Linked DNA regions of Canis lupus familiaris. The protein of the gene in region 1 interacts with the protein of each later gene in a biochemical or structural test. Links are inferred from orthologs where the notes say so. Each region holds a gene or a part of one and is shown in the gene's direction. Other genes may lie near its edges.

The links.
Region 2: of the proteins of DCAF1 (region 1) and UNG, one has a biochemical effect on the other in vitro, tested with the Homo sapiens proteins (2 studies listed by BioGRID, with this or other methods). The link is inferred for Canis lupus familiaris from reciprocal best matches to the Homo sapiens genes DCAF1 and UNG.

Annotation. Positions count from the first base shown.
Region 1 is NC_049241.1:38,546,947-38,550,766, forward strand, and holds part of DCAF1 (DDB1- and CUL4-associated factor 1), read left to right. Parts: intron 1-1,818; coding exon 1,819-1,956; intron 1,957-3,456; coding exon 3,457-3,820. UniProt on the Homo sapiens protein: Acts both as a substrate recognition component of E3 ubiquitin-protein ligase complexes and as an atypical serine/threonine-protein kinase, playing key roles in various processes such as cell cycle, telomerase regulation and histone modification.
Region 2 is NC_049247.1:18,255,058-18,258,877, reverse strand, and holds part of UNG (uracil-DNA glycosylase), read left to right. Parts: intron 1-356; coding exon 357-535; intron 536-3,820. UniProt on the Homo sapiens protein: Uracil-DNA glycosylase that hydrolyzes the N-glycosidic bond between uracil and deoxyribose in single- and double-stranded DNA (ssDNA and dsDNA) to release a free uracil residue and form an abasic (apurinic/apyrimidinic; AP) site.

The DNA of each region.
Region 1 (3,820 bases):
TTTTTTTTTTTCATTTGTTTTTATTGAAGTTTGATTTGCCAGCATATAATGCCCATTGCTCATCCCATCTAGTGCCCTCCTCAGTGCCTGTCACTCAGTTACCGAACCCCCCCACCCACTTCCCCTTCTGAAATATTGTTTTTATACCCACCAGACTGTGGAAAATAAAAAGTGTGACAGTGGCCATGTTTTGACAAAGGTGTAGAAAAAAGAACTATTCACTGTTGTTGGAAATATGAATTGTTGCAGTCACATTGGAAGATAACTTGGCATCCTTCAGTAAAGTTGAGCGCATACATATCCTGTGATTTAGCAGTTCTGATCTTAGATTTCATCCTAGGGATATGCTTGCACAAAAATAGTTGTAGTTGCTTAAACTAACAAAATAGCAGCAAAATATGGAGGTGAAGAACATCTGGAGGTTGCTACTTGGGATCAGACACCCTTCTGCCACTCATATTTCTTAACCTTATTGTGACTCCGTTTTCTCTTCTGCAGGTACTTACCCAAACATATAGGGTTGATACGAGAAATTAATAAGTTTTTTAAAAAGATTTATTTATTTATTTATTCATGAGAGACACAGACTGAGAGAGAGAGGCAGAGACATAGGCAGAGGCAGGCTCCTCGCAGGGAGCCTGATGTGGGACTCAGTCCTGGACCCCAAGATCATGACCCAAATGAAGGCAGCTGCCCAACTGCTGAGCCACCCAGGCATCCCTAAAGATTTTTTTTTTTTGAATTTATTTATTCATGAGAAACACAGGGAGGGAGAAGCAGGCTCCATACAGGGAGCCTGATGCAGGACTCGATTCTAGGATGTCAGGATCCTGACCTGAGTGAAGGCAGATGCTCAACTGCTAAGCCACCCAGGTGCCCCGAGAAATTAATAAGTAGTTATGTCCAAAGCCTATCTTACGTTGAATGCTGTGGGTGACAGCTTCATGTAACTATAGGTGAATGTAAAAAACATGTTGAGTAATAAGTTGAAGAAAAATACAGTACCATGGGGTTTATATAATTCAAAGTATGATACATTTAACAGAAGTTTAATAGGAAAATTGTTAAAATTCCGTTACTGTAGATACCCTTTGGGGAGAGAGCATAGGAGTGGCACAAAGAGGGACATAGGGAAGGTTTTTATTAATCTCAGTGGTAGATCATGGGTGATTTTCATTTTCTTTGGATTATATATGTTTGCATGTATTATTTCATAATAAATAAGTTTGGGATATGTGGAGTTAAGTACTTCTTTGATGGATGACTTCTCATTAATATTGTTAATTGTGCATTGTGAATTTCAAAGGAGGACATAGAATTTTTAGTGCTCCGTACTTGATTATTGAACATTTTGGGTCTTAAACATCTAATGTAGGACTATATTATGTGGTTATTGACCTTTAGCTTGGATTTTAATGGCTAAATAGGAATCTATTTCACAGATGCTCAGCTATTTTTTTTTTTTAAGATTTTATTTATTTATTTGAGAGAGCAAGAGCCAGGGAGAAGGACAGAGAGAGAGAGAGAGAGAGAGAGAAACAGACTCCCTGCTGAGCAGGGAGCCGATGTGGGGCTCTGAATCCCAGGACTCTGAGATCATGACTTGAGCTGAAGGCAGACACTTAACCAACTGCCCCGATGGATAGCTATTTTAACTAAACCATTTGGAAACTTAGTTTACTTGTGCTTTTTAATCTTATAAGCAGCATTGAAGTATTTTATTAACTTTTTTTCACAAGACTGAAATCTTTGCTTATATCTTTAATTATGAAAATGATCTTTGCTGAATTGTACTATTTCATTTTCTTTACTATATAGGAAGGAATCGTTGAGAATCTTTTCAAATGGGCCCGAGAGGCTGATCAGCCATTGAGGACGTATTCTACTGGATTGTTAGGAGGTGCTATGGAGAATCAAGATATTGCTGCCAATTATAGGGATGAGAATTCACAGCTGGTAAGGATTATGTTGGAATTTCTTTCTGTATAAGATTGGAGCATATTCACAAGTTTTTTCTTGCTACCTGAACTCAGATAGTAGATCTTATTCATTACTTTGTATTGGAGTATAGCTATAATTTCGATATTGGAAGATTATTTTTCACGTTTTGATTTTACTTTTTTTAAAAAAGATTTTATTTATTTATGAGAGAGACAGAGATGTAGGCAGAGGGAGAAGCAGACTTCCTGCAGTAAGCCCGATGTGGGACTCGATCCCAGGACCCTGGGATCACAAACCCAAGCCAAAGGCAGATGCTCAACCACCAAACTACCCAAGCGTCCCTGATTTTACTTTTTTTTAACTTGAAATAGACATTTTCCATTTTGCCAAGGATCATGATAGTTTGTACTAGGTAAAGAATAGTACCATCCCCTTTCTTTTCCCAATATTTGCATTATGAAAATTTTAAGCATATAGCAAAATAGAATTTACAGATAGTAGCTATATACATCCACTTAAATTATTTGTGAATGTTTTAGTATACTTATTGTATACCCATCCACCCACCTTTCTTTCTATTCATCCACCATTTTTTGCAGATAACTTTTTTTAAAGATTTATGATTTTACAGAAAGAGAGGCAGAGACATAGGCAGATGGAGAAGCAGGCAGGGAGTCTGATGCAGGGCTCAATCCCAGGACCCAGGGTTCACAACTTGAGCCAAAGGCAGATGCTCACCCACTGAGCCACTCAGGCGCCCCTGTTTTTTTTTAAAAACTAAGCATACTACTACATTTTAGGGTTGGCTTAAAAAAATAAGTACTTTTTTTTTTTAGATTTATTTGTTTATTCATGAGAGACACACACACACACACACACACACACAGAGAGAGAGAGAGAGAGGCAGAGACATAGGCAGAGGGAGAAGCAGGGTCCCCACACGGAGCCCCATGTGGGACTCAATCCCGGATCCTCAGATCATGCCCTGAGCTGAAGGCAGACGCTCAACTGCTGAGCCACTCAGATGTCCCAAAAAATAAATACTTAAAAGAAAAAGTGAAAAAGCGGTAAACTTGAAAACTAGATCATGTAATTATGTAGATGGCAGTATCTAACAATACAATTTATAACAGGTACAAGTTTGAGAAAACCTTCATGTTTTATTTTCAAAGATACTTTTTAAAAATCATGAATATGTCTGGTGTCTTCCTCATTAGGTGTGATGGTCCAGCCCAGCTTGATCTAGGTAGATCAATTGTGAAAGATGTGTGATATGTAAATGTGGTTTAGGTTTTCTGGGACATTTTATGAGGAATGAGACTTTTAGCTATTGCTTATTTTATCAAACTATAGAAATAAAGTCAAAATATTTATTAAGTCTTTACCATTTCCAGATATTAAGATGACTGCTTGAAGATTTAGTTTTCCTTAAATGGAAATAAGAATATTTATTAAGAATCCTTTAAATTAAGATGCAGGAGAAATAAAGCTTTTTACTCCAATATCTATTGATAGGTGGCAATAGTACTTCGAAGACTGAGGGAGCTGCAGCTTCAGGAAGTGGCTTTACGGCAAGAAAACAAGCGTCCCAGCCCACGAAAGCTCTCCTCTGAACCTCTTTTACCTCTGGATGAAGAAGCTGTGGATATGGACTATGGTGACATGGCTGTAGATGTAGTGGATGGCGAACAAGAGGAAGCTTCTGGGGACATGGAGATCTCTTTTCATCTTGATTCAGGCCACAAGACCAGTAGTAGAGTGAACTCAGCAGCCAAACCTGAGGAAGGAGGATTGAGAAAAAACAAGGCAGCAAAACAGGGTGACAGAGAGAGTTTTAGGAAAGCCAAGCAGAAGTTGGGTTTCTCAACGTCTGATCCAG
Region 2 (3,820 bases), on another chromosome or scaffold:
AATCAAGAGTTGGATGCTTAACCAACTGGGCCACACAGGCGCCCCATGGAATGTGTTTTTTAAACAACTGATGACAGATGTGAGGTGAAGTCAATGTTATAAACTCTGAAGATGGTGAGATCGGCAGAGGGAAAAATAAAACGCTCTTTGATCTTGCCTTAGAGGCACCTGCCAGTCATGTTGTAATTCTCTCTTTGGAGGCTGATTTCAGAGGGCTACATACTGGATTCTGGCATGGGAGCATGGGAGTGGTTTCGTGGGCATAGCCCCTGTTGTTGGGTGTCTGGAATCACTGGTGTATGTCTCTCTCTCTTTCTCTCTCTTTGACTAATTTTATTTCTTTGGTGTGTCCATAGGTGTTCTCTTACTCAACGCTGTCCTCACCGTCCGGGCACATCAGGCTAATTCTCATAAGGAGAGAGGATGGGAACAATTTACTGATGCGGTAGTGTCCTGGCTAAATCAGAACTCCAGTGGCCTTGTCTTCTTGCTCTGGGGCTCTTATGCTCAGAAGAAAGGCAGTGCCATCGATAGGGTATGGTTGTTTTGTTTTTTAAATACTTCAAACCTGTTTAGAAAATCTTAGGAATCCCTGCTTTGTGGTCCTGGAAAACCCATGTCACAAGGTGAAGTTTATTTTCCCTAAAGGCTTATAGTTAGGGTTAGGTTTCCCATTGAAAATTAAGCAAAATTCAGACAAATTATAGGAACAACTAACTTAGTTGTGTTTGAGGAAAGCAAAGGGCCAACTTCTGAGAGTTAGTATACAATAGGCATATACTTGCCAGATACATAGAATGATACGGGTATCATTCATTTAACAAATGATGCGGTAAGTAATGAATAAGGCAAGTACCCTACCTCCTCAACCCACCCTCCCTCTGTCTCCCCTGATATGCTCCTTCCCTGCTCCTCCGTTGACCCACATGCCTGGTGCTGAGATTAAAAACCAGAAGCCATCCTTGAATCCTCTCCTTTCTCTTCTCCCCTTAAGCCTACTCTGCCAGCAAATCCTGTCCCCTTACCTCCTGAGAACATCCCAGTCCTGCTGCTCACCGTTGAGACTGTTACTTCTCTCCAGGCTGTGACAGACTGTGGAGTTGATGGTTGGAATGGAGGACAGCGTGGTGGAGGAGGAGCAGTGGGGGAGGTGGTGGGAGGCAGGCATCAAAGACGAGCCTTGGCCTGGGCTGCTGGGGGACACAGGATTCATTGCAGTGAGTGAAGTAAAGGAGTTAAGTGAGGTTGACAGTAGCTTGTGTGTTGGCAGGAAGCAGCTGGTGTGTCAAGAATGCCCAGGTAGCCCTTTTCCTACAGAATCTCGTTTAACAATTAAAGTATCAATAAAGTTGTAGTGTGTGGCAGGGCAGAGATAAGAACCTGCTTGGGAGTGTGCAGAGCAGCAGCCTGCTCACATTGCTCACCTAAGGTCCTGCCGGGGGTGTGCCTGCAGAGCCCACCCCAGGGCCAGGAGTGTGTTCAGGTTCCATGCCTGCAACCCAGTCCCAAGTCTGTCCACTTGACCCTTATTGTCCACTTCTCCATTTTCTCTAGGATGGAATTGGTTTTTATCTTAGTGTTTTGGTTTTTTTTAAAAGATTTTATTTATTTATTCATGAGAGAGAAAGAGATGCCGAGACCCAGGCAGAGGGAGAAGCAGGCTGCATGCAGGGAGCCTGACGCAGGACTCGATCCCGGGTCTCCAGGATCATGCCCTGGGCTGAAGGCGGCGCTGAACTGAGCCACCCGGGCTGCCCTTGTTTGTTTGTTTTTAAGGTAGTGGGTTCACATAATTAAATAAAATAGGATATTAGGGTACACGGTGAGAAGTTTCCCAGCCAGTCCTGTCTGTTTAGTGGTTTCCCAGGCTCAGGGAGGCACCGGCTTTTGGTTTCTGACATGTCCTCCCCATGTCTTTATGTGAACGGCAGTAGAGTGTGTGAATCAGGGGAGGCAGCTGCTCTCTCTACAAAGTTTCTGTGTGAACGAACAAGGTGTTTTCAGGTGTTTTGAGGAAGGGAATGGTAGAAGTAAAATCTGGCGGGAATGAACTAACTGCTAAGATCTGATCATCTAGGTAAGATGTCCGTGGAAGTGATTCCCTTCTGTGTGCTTTTGGGAGATTGATACTCCGTGTGTGTGTGTGTGTGTGTGTGTGTGTGTGTGATTTTTATTACTGAAAATGGTTTGGTTTGATTGGAAGCAGTTGTAAAAGTAGCTTGGTGATTAGAAGCCAGGTAGCTTTCCTGAGCATTAGGTCTGTATTCAGCTGTCTCTTTATCCACGGCCCCTCAGCACACCTGATTCCACGTTTTCCAAGGTAGGTTCTCCTTTGCTCATCCAGCCTTGCCAATCTGGCTCCTGTAGACTCCCCCAGGATAGAAAGTACAACCGTGCATTTGTCCACTCAGAAATCAGATAGCATTTGTGACAACCTTCCTCCCTCCCACCCCTCTTTTTCCCTTCCTCTCTGCTCACCACCTGTCTGCCCTATCTATCCCATACCCAGTCAGGCATTCATAGCCTCAGACTCCTCATCTGGCTGCCTTGGCCTCGATTCAGGCCCTCATCTGACCTTGGTCCCCCTGAAGGCCCTGCCTTGGGAAGGTGGGCTGGGGTCTGGAGCACTAGCAGGGCCCTGGTCTGCTTTCTTAGCCACAGCTCCTCTCTTCCCTACATCCCACTTCCCTGCCTGCCTCTGAACATCCTGGCTCCCCTCTCCAGAGGCCAATTAAACTCCTCCTTCAAAGCTCAGCACAGCTCACATTTCAGCAAACCCCTCCCCCCCCCCCAGGTGCACGGCAGGTGGCATGCTAGTAAGCACTTGACCCCTGTTACTTCTCACAACACACATGGGCATTGTTCACTCCTGCACAGTGTCTCCATAAGTAAGGCTCTCTTCTACCCCCTTCACAGCAGCAGAAGGAAGTGCAGCCGCAGGAGGCGGCAGAGGCAGAACTGGAACCCAGGCCTCTGGGAGCTGGACTCCAGGCTCCTCAGCATGTCAGGCTGCCTGGCTTCCATTATGGCCCCTTCCTGGACTTAGCTATTTGAAGGCAGAGAGATGTTGTGAAAACAATTAGTTGTGAGATGGTTTTTATTTAAATACAGAAGAGAAGAAAGAAGAAAACAAACATCGTCCACAGTCTTCTTGCTCCACAAAGTATGGCCGACATTCAAAAAATCAAAGTGTTGTTTTTCTTGACAATTCAGGCTGATGCACAGTAATGCAAAGCTAGAAGTAAAATGCCTTCCACTATTTCTTTTCCCTAATGGAACTGCTATAAATAGCATATTGGATATTAAGAAAAAAACAAATATGCAATTACCTATTTTCTTTTTCATCTAGTTGATATATTTAGGTCTTCCCTTACTAGCATATGTAGCTCAGCCTTACTCTTCTAGTAGCCTTGTGGTGGTCCATTATAAGAAGTTCAGAAAAATGTTTTTAGCTAGTGGCATAACACTGGATTTATTTTTATTTTTATTATTTTTTTTAAGATTTCATCCACTTATTCATGAGAGACACAGAGAGAGGCAGAGATACAGGCAGAGGGAGAAGAAGGCTCCATGCAGGAAGCCCAGTATTGGACTTTATCCTGGGACCCTTGGGATCACGCCCTGAGCCAAAGGCAGACGCTCAACCGCTGAGCCACCCAGGCGTCCCAGCACTGGATTTATATTAGGTTTTACCTGGTATAAGCCATGCTGCCGTGGGCCTCCTTAAACCTATGTTTTCGTAGAGGTGTACGCATCATGGGGCCCTTTAGCAACTGTATTCCTTAGCAACACGACTGCTGGATCACAAGATCAGGGCACT